3 linked regions of the Mus musculus genome follow. The protein of the gene in region 1 purifies or fractionates together with the protein of each later gene. This does not show direct contact. Links are inferred from orthologs where the notes say so. Each region holds a gene or a part of one and is shown in the gene's direction. Other genes may lie near its edges.

Evidence for each region. The genes of interacting proteins can lie anywhere in the genome.
Region 2: the proteins of Rela (region 1) and Pml purify together in Homo sapiens (affinity purification with western blotting; 3 studies listed by BioGRID, with this or other methods). This does not show direct contact. The link is inferred for Mus musculus from reciprocal best matches to the Homo sapiens genes RELA and PML.
Region 3: the proteins of Rela (region 1) and Rnf182 purify together in Homo sapiens (affinity purification with western blotting; 3 studies listed by BioGRID). This does not show direct contact. The link is inferred for Mus musculus from reciprocal best matches to the Homo sapiens genes RELA and RNF182.

Annotation. Positions count from the first base shown.
Region 1 is NC_000085.6:5,636,045-5,640,995, forward strand, and holds the start of Rela (transcription factor p65), read left to right. Parts: upstream 1-1,496; 5' UTR 1,497-1,790; coding exon 1,791-1,797; intron 1,798-1,919; exon of another isoform or gene 1,920-2,076; coding exon of another isoform or gene 2,077-2,104; intron 2,105-2,387; coding exon 2,388-2,414; intron 2,415-2,506; coding exon 2,507-2,658; intron 2,659-2,810; coding exon 2,811-2,959; intron 2,960-3,814; coding exon 3,815-3,906; intron 3,907-4,258; coding exon 4,259-4,390; intron 4,391-4,951. UniProt on the Homo sapiens protein: NF-kappa-B is a pleiotropic transcription factor present in almost all cell types and is the endpoint of a series of signal transduction events that are initiated by a vast array of stimuli related to many biological processes such as inflammation, immunity, differentiation, cell growth, tumorigenesis and apoptosis.
Region 2 is NC_000075.6:58,246,248-58,251,399, reverse strand, and holds the start of Pml (protein PML), read left to right. Parts: upstream 1-1,613; 5' UTR 1,614-1,709; coding exon 1,710-1,859; intron 1,860-3,961; coding exon 3,962-4,425; intron 4,426-5,152.
Region 3 is NC_000079.6:43,614,251-43,619,335, forward strand, and holds the start of Rnf182 (E3 ubiquitin-protein ligase RNF182), read left to right. Parts: upstream 1-1,546; 5' UTR 1,547-1,817; intron 1,818-5,085. UniProt on the Homo sapiens protein: E3 ubiquitin-protein ligase that mediates the ubiquitination of ATP6V0C and targets it to degradation via the ubiquitin-proteasome pathway.

The DNA of each region.
Region 1 (4,951 bases):
CCTCCAGAGTGCTGGGGCTAAAGGCCTGCACTACCAAACACAACTCACATTTATCTTTTATTTTATTTTATTATTTTTATTTTTGTATATATGTGCACATGTGAATGCAGTTGCTCTCAAGAGCCCAGAACAGTGTGAGGTCTCCGGAAGCTGCAGTTACAGTTGCTGATAACTGGACTCTGGTCTTCTGCAAGGGCATTATCGACTCTTAACTGATGGGCCATCTCTCCAGCCTGCAACCATCCTTTTTTAAAGAGCATCTTCTGTAGTTCTGGATGGGTTCAAACTATGTAGAGGAGGATGACGTTGAACGTCTGACCCCATGAGCGCTGGGATTACTGGAGCATCCTGGAGTCAGAGATCAAATCCCAGCTTCCTGCAACGTTATGCAAAAACTACTGAGTTCTCATTTCTAGCCTTTACTTTTTAGTAAGGACGCTGGTATTCATATTAACTTAAATTGTAACTATATGTGTTTTTACAAGTGGTTCATGTGAGGACCAATGATGGCTGTGTGCCATTAATTGGAGATTATATTCATTCTGTCGCCTTGACATCCGCCCTCGCAAAATATTAAACTGCTTTTTCTAATCTGCGCCAAGTGAGAAACTGAAATGAGTGGGAGGGGCGTAACTATTTTCACTTTTGTCTTCCTGTTTTTTTCAGAGCCTGGGAAAGCAATTCAGAATTTCCAATCTTTTCCAATTCCCACATGATTTCCTAATTTAGAGAAAATAAGTCTTTCTCTGAGTGCTGAAACCTCCTGTGGCCCGGGAGGCGCCTCCTCCTTCTGGCATAGTGGAGGCAGCCTGATGTGTTGCGTCCTCCGGCCAGAGTCCCCACACTCAATCTGCACACCTGCCCTTGGCTTAGATGGCAATTTTTGCTCCCTACAAACGCTTTCCTCATTGGAGCCTGGACTCCTGGGAGGCCTTGAAGGAGATGTTCACGGTGTGACCCTAGCTGGTTCCGGAGATCCCTAAAGATCTAAACCTTAGCAGACAGCACCTATGTGTGCAGACGAAGCCCTGGGGCTCTTCCAGCACTCATGGCTCTCAGGGACTCTTAGAGGTACAGGTGTCTGCCTAGTCCTCGGTCTGCCCCTCTACCCTAAGGCCTGTCGGATGCAGCACGCTCGCTCCGCGAAGCACTCCTGCGCGCAGCCGGATCTAGGTTGGGGAGCATGTGGCCCGTAGCACGCGGGTCCCCAGAAGGCCCCTGCACGCTTAGGAAAACGTGTGGAATTCAGTCACTGGCCTCCGCGGGAGCAGCAGGCCTGGGCCTCTCCCTGCGCAGGGCGAATGGCCGCAGCCTGCCACCAGCCCTGGCTCGGCTCCAGTCCCGGCCAGGGTGACATCACCAAACTCCTGAGATCAGAGCGGGGCGGGGAACGGGACCCGAAATCCCCTAAAAACAGAGTGAGTAATCGCGGGCCCGCCCTCCAGGCGGGGCCGGGAACGGGACCGGGACCCCGAGCGAGCCGCGCTGCGGAGCTTGTAGTCGGGCCGGCCTCGGGACAAACAGCCTCGGCGTCCTCCCGCCGCGCTGCGGTGTCCCCGCCCGCGCGCCCGCCGCACACCTTCCGCGCCCAGCGTGAGTCGCGCACCTGCTCTCGGCCCCCCACGCGCGGCGGTGGCGGTGGCGGCGGCTCAGCGCGCAGGCGCGGCCGGATTCCGGGCAGTGACGCGACGACGGGCGCGCGCCGCGCATTTCCGCCTCTGGCGAATGGCTTTACTTTAGCGCGCCGTGGGCTCAGCTGCGACCCCGGCCCCGCCCCCGGGACCCTGACCATGGACGGTGAGGCTGCCCTCTGGCTCGGGGGATGGCTGCCCTAGAGCTCCGGGGCCTGCGGCGGAATCTCCCCCCTCCCCGCGCCGTCTTCCGCCCCTTTCTGCGCCGCGGGTTGCTGCGCAGGGAGCGGCAGGCCGGATGGTGGCACGGGGCGGGGCGGGCTGCGAGGGGGTCTGACTCAGTTACCCCTCTCAGTGGAGGGCGCCTTGACTCAGTGTCCCTCCTGGGTGGGGGTACGGGTGAATCTTGACTCCGTTTCCTCCGGCTCCCCCCACCCCCGTGTCGATGCGATTAGTTCTGGCTTCCTTTCCGTGTAAGGAAGAAAGTATCTGACTCAGTTTCCCCAGAAGAGGAGAGGAGGGTATTACCCCCTCCTCAGTGTCACTTATGAACGTAAAACAGGCACTGACTCAGTTTCCCCTGGCAAAGGAATGCCTCTGTGTCCCCTTTCTCTAGTTCCCCGGCCTCTGTCAGGGCAGGTTTCAGGGTCTTGGCTCAGTTTTCTTGGAAGGGAGGGAGCTTGGCTCTGTCAGGCCTTCGCAGGTGAGGGTGGGCACTGGAGTTTATTGACAATGTGCCTTGTCTTTCCCTTTCAGATCTGTTTCCCCTCATCTTTCCCTCAGGTAAGTTGGACCATCCATCCTCAGTAGTCAGGGGCTGTCCTGGAGTCGGGGCCGTGGGGATAGCACCTGATGGCTGACTGTGTCACCCACAGAGCCAGCCCAGGCTTCTGGGCCTTATGTGGAGATCATCGAACAGCCGAAGCAACGGGGCATGCGATTCCGCTATAAATGCGAGGGGCGCTCAGCGGGCAGTATTCCTGGCGAGAGAAGCACAGATACCACCAAGACACACCCCACCATCAAGGTAAGCAAGAGCCCCCAGGGGTGTCGCTGGGACACAGATGTGGTGGAACGCACTGTGCAGCCCCAGCAGACTTGCCTCCTGGTCACCGTGCCCTGTGTCTAAGAGCCAGATTAGGGATTGCTGGCCACTAGAGTACTCTGTACTTTGGACAGATCAATGGCTACACAGGACCAGGAACAGTTCGAATCTCCCTGGTCACCAAGGATCCACCTCACCGGCCTCATCCACATGAACTTGTGGGGAAGGACTGCCGGGATGGCTACTATGAGGCTGACCTCTGCCCAGACCGCAGTATCCATAGGTGAGTTCCCTATGGGCTGGGGGTGGTGTGAGGGCAGGGTAGGAGCAGGCCGGCCAGGCAGCTCTTACAGTGTTGCTCTTTTCTAAACACAGGCAGAATCCAGAGTTCTTAACTCTGTCTCCAGTTTGCAAACAGACCTCCTTTGTCTTGAATTCTCTAACAGTTGGGAACTCCTTATCTTCTTAGAGCCACAAACCCTATGGCTGGACAGGCCAGCCTCTTAGCCTCTTGGATCAGAAAGATATCCAAATGGACCCTCCTAGAGCTTAAATACCAGTTGGTAAAACCAGGCGATAATTGTACAGACAGATAGACGAGATACTGGTAGAGAATTATAACTTCCATGATGGAAAGAAAACACAGTTATAAATTAGGAGGAGGAGTCTGGTCTCAGGAAGCTCAAGCTGGCCTTGAACTCGTTAGGGTTCCCCTGCCTCCTCTTCTCAACTCCAGGGGAATAGGCATGTAGCACCGTGTCCTGCTGCACAGGTCTCACGACTTTGGGTTGGAGGGTTACAGAAGGCCTCTGTGCTAACTCTTAAATGGTGAGAAAAAGCAGACAGACCCAAAAGAACATTCCGTGCACGAGAAAGAAGTACAAAAAAAAGCAAGCAAGCAAGCAAGCAGTACGATGCCCTTGGAAGGGGAGTACGTTCCATTTCGTGTGCTTAGGTCTGGGAAAGGAAGCCCCTGTGGCTGAGGTGGGGCACTGGCTTGGAGGCCTGCGAGGGCCAGCTCCCTCAGAGACTTGCCAGTGGGTAAGGAGTGGGAAGCCTAGACATACCTGAGAGCTGTGGAGTTGGGAGGCAAGAAGGGGCTCTGCTGGAGACACAAAACTAATACCTGAGGCCTCAGCTTCCAGAACCTGGGGATCCAGTGTGTGAAGAAGCGAGACCTGGAGCAAGCCATTAGCCAGCGAATCCAGACCAACAATAACCCCTTTCACGGTAGGAGCAAGGGGCAAAGACATTGATCTTCGTGTGGTGCAAGTATCTCTGTCACCTTCCCTGGGCCTCTGCCGCTCATCTCCCTCCATGGCCAACCCAGCAGCAGGAGTGGAACCTTGCTGCCAGCTTGGCACACACTCACACTCTGCCGTTGAGAGTCAGGCCTAGAGAGGGCTCCTGGAGAGCCGTGATGGATCTAGGGTCTTCCTCCCCTTAGACTTCTGTTTTACATCTCCTCAAATCACCTTCCTCTTTCCTCAGAGCTCCCTGGCCCGTCCCCCCTCCCCCACCCCCAATGCCTTCCACCACAGTGTTTTGTTTTTTGTTTTTGTTGTTTTTTTGTTTTTGACAGTTCCTATAGAGGAGCAGCGCGGGGACTATGACTTGAATGCAGTGCGCCTCTGCTTCCAGGTGACAGTGCGGGACCCAGCAGGCAGGCCCCTCCTCCTGACCCCTGTCCTCTCACATCCGATTTTTGATAACCGTAAGTGGCCGGCTGCAGTAGGGATGAGGGCGGGCTTGGGAACTGAATGGGGACCGGGTGGGTGAGGCCTGGGAGAAGAGCTCTGGCTTCCTTCAGTCATCCAGCGCCTTCCAGCTGTGCTGCAGGGGGTGGGGTGGAGAAGACCCAGAGCTGCCCTGTGACTGAAGCGGCCAGGATGCCCAGGAGCCTGGTGGGAAGTGACTGCTTCCCATATCTGGGGTTGGGAAGCTGGTCTGCCAAGAACTGTGCTCAGGACTTTAGGAAACAAGCTCTCAGAGACCAGATCCTTCTAGACAGCAGGAATTCAGCTGTAGCAGCTCCCAGGAAGCTCTCAGATGACCTGGCTGACTTTGATGGATTGCAGTCTTTAGCAGCAGGGTAAATTAAAGGAAAACCAAAGGGCTTCAGAGTCCTAAGAACCGGAAGCCAGGACTAACTGGAAGTGAGGCGGGATGAACCGAAAGCTGAAACTGTGCCGCTAAGGTGGAGGGCGGCAGGTGTGGTCAGAGTGTGTCCTCTGGACTGGAGGATCTCTGGAGAACAGGGACATCCGGCCTTCAG
Region 2 (5,152 bases), on another chromosome or scaffold:
AAGAGGGCATCAGATCCCATTACAGATGGTTGTAGCCACCATGTGGTTGCTGGGAATTGAGCTCAGGACCTCTGGAAGAGCAGTCAGTGCTCTTAACCCCTGAGCCATCTCACCAGCCCCCTAGAAACATTCTATTAGTATCTCAGACTTCAATATGATAACCATTGACATTCTATTAATAGATGTTACATCACATAATTTAAAAAATTGAGGAAAGAAAACACAAATATTTGTACACAATATAACTGATCTTGGCCTAATTTTTTAAAATATTTACTCAAAATATTTATATGAGTACACTGTAGCTGTTTTCAGACACACCAGAAGAGGGAATCAGATTCTATTACAGATGCTTGTGAGCCACCATGTGGCTGCTGGGAATTGAACTCAGGACCTCAGGAAGAACAGTCAGTGCTCTTAACCGCTGAGCCATCTCTCCAGCCCTTGATGGGCTAATTTTAAAGGCCAAGGGATACTGGTCAGCTTAGATGTATGGCCTCCACAGTCTCCAGGATGTTGGGTCTCCCTTTAGAACCCATCTCACCACAACTCTAAGTTTACAAAAGCAGGAACCTGTTACCATCCCTTTTAATCAGTTTCACATAGGAACAGAGAATAGGCACATAGGGGCCAGAAAAGTGGGTGGGAACAGACTGAAGTTAGAAGCCAAAGGCACTGGCCAATGAGAGTGTCAGCAGGTGTGTGTTTTCCTCACCCACTAGTTTCTGGATTGCTTTTTCTTGGTCAAAAAGCTAACTTTGTATCTCTTGTTTTCTTCACCACTGCTGGCCAGCTCTCCCCTTGCCTCCCTGTTGTCTACCTCTGTACGATGCACAGTCATCAGACCCATTCAACGCTGTTCTGTCACCACGGTCCTTCCACTGACTCAGAACTAACTCTGTGTCCCACAGTTACTTCTCATAGGCCACCTGCCTCAAGGTCATTCAAGAGACGCAGCTGACACGCTGTAAGAAACCCTTCACCAACTCTCAGATCATATGTAGAATCGGTCCATTTCTCACCGTATGATTCATCTCATCTTCTCTGGTATCACTTCGCAGGAGCCCCATCTTAAATCTGAAAATGGCCCTGACTACTTCCCAAACTGGCTCTCCTGTTTCAGACCTCCACTCCTTTCCAAGTGTTTGTCTCTCTTTAAAATGTCTGAGCAGCTCTGAATTCCTGGTCATTTTCTATCTCATGCTCCATTCTCAGCTGAGGGATGCCTTTCCAGGCAAACCCATCCCAGTACTGAGTCGAAGTCTCCACTAGGGTGCACTTGGGAGGCTCTCTCAAAGAGGAGTTTATTTCTCTACCTGGCTTTTAACTAGAAAGACATATAGCTGTGGAATGAGTCCAATAGCTCACAGACAGGGAAAAGCCTGTCAGCTCTGTTTCTCTCCTGGTGTGCATGCTGCGTACGTGGCCGGATCTTTCCTTGTTCTGCTAATGAGCCATGCCCGCATGCCGGGCTTGTTTACTTGCTTGTTTGGTTAACCTTTCTGACTCTACCAGAGTTACTTCCATAGCTCCCTAGTCTTTCTCTTAACTTTGGAAGGGAGATTATAGAACCAGCCTCTCCGCCCCTAGACCCGCCCAGCCCTGTCTCACTTCCTCTCGGGAGGCGGGCTCTCCTCGGGCAATCTCTCGCTCAGTTTTCTGGCTCAGATCTGAGACCCATTTCCCGCCTTCACAGACCTAATCAAGAAATGGAAACTGAACCAGTTTCCGTGCAGAAGGTACCTGCACCCCCTGGATCTCCCTGTCGACAACAGGACTCTGCCCTGACCCCCACGCCCACCATGCCTCCCCCAGAGGAACCCTCCGAAGACTATGAACACAGCCAAAGCCCTGCAGAGGTACTACTGGGTTAGAAGGTGTAGGGCTATTAGGTTTTTTTATTCGTTTACTTTGGTCGAGGAGTTGAGGATGAAGAAGGTCGTTATAGAGAAGTAAGTTAATGGGTTAGTGTCCTAAAGAGACACCAAGGTCCTGACCCTCCTGGCTGGGCAGAGGTAGAACTGATAGCCTAGAGTAAAATAGGAACAGGGGCCCGGCGGTGTGGGGCACACCTCTAATCCCAACACTTGGGAGGCAGAGGCAGGTGGATTTCTGAGTTCAAGGCCAGCCTGGTCTCTACAGAGTGAGTTCCAGGACAGCCAGGGCTACACAGAGAAACCCTGTCTAAAAAAAAAAAAAAAAAAACCGGGATGAGTTGGATTGTAACTGGGGATAGTTGGATTGTAACTCCTACTCCCTGAAGCCTTGCCTGAAGCGCCTACCTCAGATGAAAGACTATAGTCCTGTGGAAGGCCTGGCCAGGAGTCTTATTTGCTCTGGCCTGGAGCTAAAGGCATGTCCCAGACTTGGCAAAACTATAGTCGCCCTCCCTGACCCCCACACCAACACTTCCCGTTTTTCAGCTGTGGTTGCACATCCCAGGAGCAATAGTGCTTGGGATGGTAGGGCTGGAGGGAGGATGACAAGTTCCAGGCCAGCCTAGGCCACAAAGAGAGTTCAAGACCGCTGAGGGCATCACAGCAAGACCTGTTTCAAAACAAAACAAACAAACAGACAGAACCTGGCTCAGACCAAAGTGCCTGCTAAGACCAACAGGATTCACACAGCTGCTTTCTCTTTTGATTTTCATCAATTTATTTTATGTGTATGAGGTTTAGGGATTTATTTTATTTTATCTTTTGGAACACAGGGTCTCACTCTGTAGCCTTGGCCGGGCTGGAGCTTGCTTTGTAAGCCAGGCTGGTCTCAAATTCATAGAAACCACCTGCCTGCCTTCTGAGCTCTGGGATTAATGTATGCGCCACCAAGCTCATTTTCCTAAGGAAGCCTAGTTCATGGCCTTCCTGGGAGTATTGCCTCAACCTTCCATACTCACCCTGGAAGGAACTACCTCCATCCCATTATTCTTCACTCATTTTTCCCTTCACAAAAAACACAAATAAGGTCACATTGCCCTAACTTTTTATTATTAGCATTATATAGCTAAGGATTAAAAATACTAGTTGACATTTATGGGTACTTCTCTCTCTCTCTCAATCTCTCTCTCTTTTTTTTTTTTTTTTTGGTTTTTCGAGACAGGGTTTCTCTGTATAGCCCTGGCTGTCCTGGAACTCACTTTGTGAACCAGGCTGGCCTCGAAATCGCCTGCCTCTGCCTCCTGAGTGCTGGGATTAGACTTATGGGTATTTCTCATGTGCCAGGCACCATGGTATTGAGCTCTTTGAACAGTAGCTCCACCTTCTATACCTATGAACTAACTATTATTATTTTATATGACATGACTGGAATTACACAATATTTCTAATTTTATGGCAGGCATATTATTTCACCATGTCTTCAAGGTTCATCCAGGTTGTTGAATGTATCAGGATTTCATTCCTCTTTCAGGGTGAATACTATTTTGTTACATTTGCAGACACATTTTGTTCATGCGTTCATGTGCTAAGGACACTTGGGTCACTGTGACTTTTGTGGGGGTGTTGCTAGGCACATTAGTATATAATTATATGCTTGGATATTTTTTCCAGTTCTTTTGAGTATATATATGGAAAGTGGAAGCTTGGTCATACGGTAGTTTAAGTCTAACTTTTTGAGGGTCATCCTGCCAATTGTGTTAAGCACTTTATATGAAGTTGATACTTTTCCAAACTTGAGTCCCTTAAATGCAAAGATGTATCTATCCTATCTTGTATCTCAGGACCTACTAGTGAGTCTAATGATAAGCAGATGGGTGCCCGGTAAATTGTGCAGTGAGAGCTGCAAGGCTCGAAGTAAATGAGGAACTGGGGTGCCGATAAGCCAGGACATGATCCAATGACTCCCAGGAATGGAATGTGAGGTCCTACCCTCTCCAATCTCCAGCTGAAGGGATGGGCGGCCAGTGGAGGGGACAAGACGTCTGGGCTTTCTGTAGGCCTCACTTCTCTCCTTGGTTCACTAGCAAGCCATACAGGAGGAATTTCAGTTTCTGCGCTGCCCGAGCTGCCAGGCCCAAGCCAAGTGCCCCAAACTGCTGCCTTGCCTGCACACGCTGTGCTCCGGATGCCTGGAGGCGCCTGGCCTGCAGTGCCCCATCTGCAAGGCTCCTGGGCAGGCCGATGCTAATGGGGAGGCCCTGGATAACGTGTTCTTCGAGAGCCTGCAGCGGCGCCTGGCGGTGTTCCGGCAGATCGTGGATGCTCAGGCTGCGTGCACCCGCTGCAAAGGCTTGGCCGACTTCTGGTGTTTCGAGTGTGAACAGCTCATTTGCAGCAAGTGCTTCGAAGCACACCAGTGGTACCTCAAGCATGAGGCCCGGCCCCTGGCTGATCTCCGCGACAATTCAGTGAGCAGCTTCCTCGACAGTACGCGCAAGTCCAATATCTTCTGCTCCAATACCAACCACCGCAACCCTGCGCTGACTGAGTAAGTGGAGCATCCTGGAGTCAGGGGGTGAAAGCTTCAGGGAATTGTCACTCAAAATGGGCTCCGCTGGTTTATAGTCGTTTCTAATGACCCTTTGAAATATTATATATAGCTTCAGAGTCATCTTTGCACCCATACCTAGTTTGTCTTTAGGATGAAAAAATTTCAGAGTGCCATTGCAAGTGATATGTGAAAACAGTAGGTTTTAGTATGTGTCACCACCGAACTTTAGATGTCTTAATAGTGGACATTTCCTTCGGAGGCCCCAGGGAATCTCAGTAAGGCTGGATGTTATTATTGGGGCAGGAAAATAGTGTTTGAAAAGTTGAAACTATGGCATCAGGGAGTGCTATCTGAAAATGACTATATGCAAAGAACAAAGAAAGTCACTTATAATTATTTTTGTTAAGCAACATATTTTCTATTTATGTAGGGAATATATTTATATGGCTCACAAACAAAATTTATACTAAAGAAAAGAGAGTGCCATCTCCATTCCATTCCTACCTGCTTAGTTTTCAACACTTTACCTCCATTCTCAGGGCAGCTGCCATGGCTAATTTGGAATGCTTCTTTTAAGTTTCTTTGTGAATAAAATGCAGGTCGGGTAACCTTATCAGGACTTGTATCCACCCTTTTAGCCAATATGGTAGTGTATGATAAAGGAACTTTTGACCACTCAGAAGCAGATTGCTTGAATAGGAACTAGTAGTTTTTGAGGAATCAA
Region 3 (5,085 bases), on another chromosome or scaffold:
GAAAAGTGGGGGTATGTTGCACTCTTGCATAGCTCTCATTATCTATTCATGGGTTTCTGTGTAACATTTCTTAGATTCAGATAGCTGGGAGAAACATACATGCACTTTGAGTTTTGATACATATCTTCAAATGACTTAATGGCGTGACAGAAAGATTTCGTTCTCTTGACTTCATCTGGAAGCACTGATCTTTTATTTATTTATTTATTTATTTATTTATTTATTTATTTATTTATTTGGTTTTTCCAGACAGAGTTTCTCTGTATAGCCCTGGCTGTCCTGGAACTCACTCTGTAGACCAGGCTGGCCTGGAACTCAGAAATCTGCCTGCCTCTGCCTCCAAAGTACTGGGATTAAAGGCGTGCACCCCCCCTCCCCCACCTACTGATCTTTTTATTTAAAAAAAAAAAAGTAGGCAACCTTCCTTAGGAGTGAAATGCTTTCATTTTAGTACATAAAATGGACCTTCTATTTTTATAAGTTAATACATGGAGCCTCCTCTATCGGTAACGTCTTTGTTTGTTTGTTTGTTTTGTTTTTCAGTAATGCTGTTGTTTCGGTGTGTCCTTCTCAGACAGCTTGAAAGCCCAGAAAACAATAGCTCTCCAGGGGGTTAGTTAGCATGTTAATGGGACTTCTTTGGTGATTCACAAATGCCAGGACAGTCCATGGCCTGCTCTTGAGGTCCAAAGGAAGACACTGTAGAATTTGGATTTAGTCACTGAACTTTCAAGAAAACATAGTATAGAGGAGTGACTCACCCAGGGGAGCTGCCCTCTAGCTCTGTCCTTTAAAAAAAAAAGCATGACCCAAGGCCTGCTGGTACTTTTCCCTCTTTCTCCAAAAATTTCCTCAGGAGAGGCTATCTAGACTCCCAAGGGAGCCTAGTTGCTTTCCTAAGGGTCAAGGTCGGCAGTATGCAGCTAGACGGTGGCTCTGTCACTTGGTGCCCATGGTGGATGCTTAGCAGTTGTAATCCGTCCCTAAGCAGTGTGGCAGTGTTTCACATTCACACTGAAGCCTGTGTGTAAAAGTTGCGGTTTAACATCTCGTATTTATCATCAGAAGTCAAGGCTCCCTTTCCCTCCCACGGGAGCCCCTGGCAAGGCAGGTGCTTGGCTTGATTGTGGGAGACCAGAAATGCAGCAGAGGCAAAGGTTGCGGTTGGTTGGTGGTGATTGTGGTGGTGGTGGTGGTGGTGGTGTCTGATGCAGCAGCCGCAACAGGAGCACGGAGTACCAGTTGCTCAAAGTGATAGTTTATCACTTTGTACTGTCCTTTCTTCTCCCTTAAGTGAATTTCCGTTTCGAGGGCAGAGCTTCATAAAAGAAAGATGTGGTGGTGACGGGGACCTTAGAGCTTTGGAATGTCCAGAGTAAGAAAGCAAAGCAGAGCCTGCACTGCAATAAGATTTGGCTCTGGGCTTAGGGCTCTCTGGAGCCTTCCTGTCTCTGGCAAGGGACTCTGAGACTCGGGAGTGTCTACACTGGCAGTGGCTCCGGGTGTTTGGGGGTGGGGTCCTTGTCTCCTCCACACTACCCAACTGCTGAGAAGAAGGGCGTGGGTCTCAGGGCTGGCGGGGTCCCGGACCGTGGTGCCTTAGGGGTTCAGGCTCTCGGCCGGCCCCGGCAGTGGCGGTTGCCATGGTGACGTAGGGTCGGCTGTGCGCCGTAGAGACAAAGCGGCCCGCCCGCCCGCGGCTCCCGAGCTCCTCCTCCGCCGCGCCTCCCTCAATCCCTGGCGCCGCCGCCGGAGTGGCTCTCGATCCTCCCATCGATCCTCCAGTCCGTCCTCCCACGGCCCCCGCCGCTGGTCAGGTAAGGCGCGCGCCAGTCCGCGCGGCCCAGGAAGGGTCCCCCGAGCGCGGGGTCCAGCCGCTGCGGGGTGTGCACCGGATGCCCTGCGGGGCTACCCTGATGCCACCCACCGTCACGGCCTCCCGGAGCCCCGGGAGCCCAGCACCCGTAGCAAACTTCGGGCCGCGCTCCGGGCGCAGAGCCCTCGACACCGCCTGATCTGTCCCGACCAAGTTGAGGGGCGGGCCGAGCCATACCCACCTGCCAGGTGTCTCTTTTTCCTTCCACCTCTCTCCTTCGCCTTTAGGAGGAAAAGAAGGAAACAAAATTACCCCAGGACTTTTGTGTTTCATGGTTAATTCCTTACAGAATAGGATAGGAGGTGCAAGGAGCAAATGAGAGGTTTCTTTCTTTCTTTTTCTTTCTTTCTTTCTTCTTCTTCTTTTTTAAATTTAACACAAATCTTTGAAAAGTCAGCTCCTTCTGACGCTTGTGGTCCACGCATTTAGAAGTGGTATCTGGAGTTCCTCTGGGTTTTGGATCTGAATCTGGAACTGCATGGTGGGAAAGAGTGCTCGGGCTCGTTTCTAGCCTTTCTAGAGCTGTTAGCTGGACCAGTACCTTGTTGGGGAGATACTTGGCACAGACATCGTTGCTATTGTTTTGGGAAGATATTGTGTTCACGCTCTAGGCAAGTGGAAAATGCCTTGTGTTTTTATGCAAGGGAGCCATCCAAAGCATCCTCGGAGGCAGGTGTCCAGGCAGTGTTTGCATCAGTGTTTATGTGTGCTGGCAAGGACTGAGATGCAGTTGCCAAGGGCATTGGGATACCTGATAGGAAACTGCTTAAGTTGTGGGTACCAGTCCCTTTCAGTGGCCACAAGCCAGCAGATCATTTCGTGATAGTTTGTTGCAGACACACACACACACACAAAATTTTTAAATGTGATAGTGAAGACTTTTTTGGGGGGGGAGAGCACTAGAAATGATATGTACTATTATGAGAGAAAGAAAACATGCTTTTCCGGGTTACAGGTGATCAGTTAAGGATATTATACATGTGCAGATGTTATTTTATTAATTGGGGACAGATGCTGTGTTGATAACTGGAAAATTACCCGCCTGATTAAGTTGTATAACTCAACTTAGAAAAATCATGTTTAAGTAGGTTAGAGAACGTTTTATGGAATGAAAGGAACTCTATTTTGTTTTTGTTAGCTCATATTATAGTTAATGAAACAGTAATACTGATTATTTTGAGTTGTGGTTAACTTGATTAGAATTCTGGGTATTGTAGCTACAGGAGGTGCCATCCCAGAGTGATTATTTAATATCCCCCAACCCCCTTGGGATTCCAACACCTGTTAGCTTGCTGATTGCTGGGTTCCTAAGCTTGTTCTCATGTGCCAACAATTTTGAGTAATGCCACTTCATTATAAGCCTGTATTGGAAACTAAAGGATTTACACTGCAGTAATTTTCAGATTATTTCCACAGTTGTTTTGAAACCGAGTTTTTACCTGCTGCGCGGCTCACAGATGCTGTACTAAATACTCCTTGATGAAGGCAATGAAACACTAGCCTGATTCGAATGAAGTAGAGCGGGGTGGAGAAGAGAAGCAGAGGAGGAGAATCATCAGCTTTTTCTCATTTCAGCCCGAGAGGCAGTCAGACCATCAAAAAACCGAAGGCGCATTACATAGTCACAGAATGTAGTTGCTTGGTACTAAAAATACAATTTGAGTTCTTTCTAAGGTACCAGGAGTGCAGCTTTATTTAGCTCTTTGTCAGCAATCCTAACATTCAAGTACAAGGACTCTGTACGTGTAGCTATATGAAACCCACACTGGGAATTCTAGCCTGGGCAGTTGTGGCTCACAATTAGAGTGTTGAAGCATAGAGCTGCTTAGTGTTACGATGGCAAGATAAGGGCTCCTGTTTGCAGGTACAAGATTCAATAGTTTGGCGTCTTCAAACAGCACCATTTTCTTTTTCTTCCTTCCAAAATAAAACAAGTAAACAGAAATAAACAGCTACAGATTGAATGCACTGACTGCTTAACTGTATTAGGTGGCTTACAGAAACGTGGTCTCACTATTACATATATCACTGGCTTCCTGGACTCTTGAGTTACCACCAGGGCTAAAGCCACCATGGGTAAGGGGACAGCTGTACTATTGTAGTAGGAAATGCAAAAAACATACCTTAGGGACTTGGAACTTGACTCAGATCAGCCACTTGGGGGAAGCAAGTATGCCCTTAGGTGTGAAAGATTGGTCACATCTCTTCAAGATTCTCAAGGGTGCCTGTTATTTTATTGCAGATCCTGGTTTAAAAGTCTGAATTTTACAAAGAAAAACTGGCCTTAGTTTTTGGTCTAAGTTGTAAAACACAGTCAGGTAAATGATGGTATGGTTGGCCCACCTGGGATTTCTGTTCTTCATGTGTATCAAATATATTCAAAGACACCAAAGCAAGCCAAGGAATTTTAACTTTAAATTGTTGTTACTGTCGTGCTGTTGAGTGTCAGTTGTCTGTAACCTTAAATCCTGCCTGGCAGTCTAAAGCCACTTAGCCTCCCTCCCTTTCCTGTTTCTGGACCATCATTCTCTTGCAATTTCTGGTTGCACTGTGATAGCACAATTGCATCCAGTGCAATGTGTGGTAGCATTTATAAAATCACATTGCTGAAGGACGATCGGTTCTTAATGACTTCATTACTCAGACACTTAGGCTTCAATATGTGGCTGGAGAGAAGGCAACCCTGAGACCTCGAGGCAAGATGCTATAAATATAAGGTATCATTTCCTGACCTGCTGAGCACGGCAGGTATTGATCATAGCTGCTGTGCAGAGAACAGGTGGAAAGAGACTGGCCATGGTGGCAGGAAGGGGTATTTGGTGGCATAGATTATTAGTAATGACTGATTAGGTAGAAAAATGATTGTGGGTATATTCCAGTTTTGTGTTTGAAGTGATGGAAAGATACAACAATTTAAAGCCATACTGCAAACTCTTAAGTGCTGGGTGGAAAACGTGTATGTTTATATTTTTGAGATAGAAGTGTAGTTCAAACAAAATGACTGATTTCTTTTATTTTCTAGCTACATGTAGCACTTAGTACATATTCAGACACAGTTAACAAATGTGGACCAAAGAACTTCTTATTGATGAAGCTATTAGAGCTCTTTGGTTGAAGAATATTCATTTTACACATACTCTGATTATTTCTTTGATTTTATGTTTTTTGGTTCACCATGTTGCAACAGTCTACTCCCATGGTTTACTGTG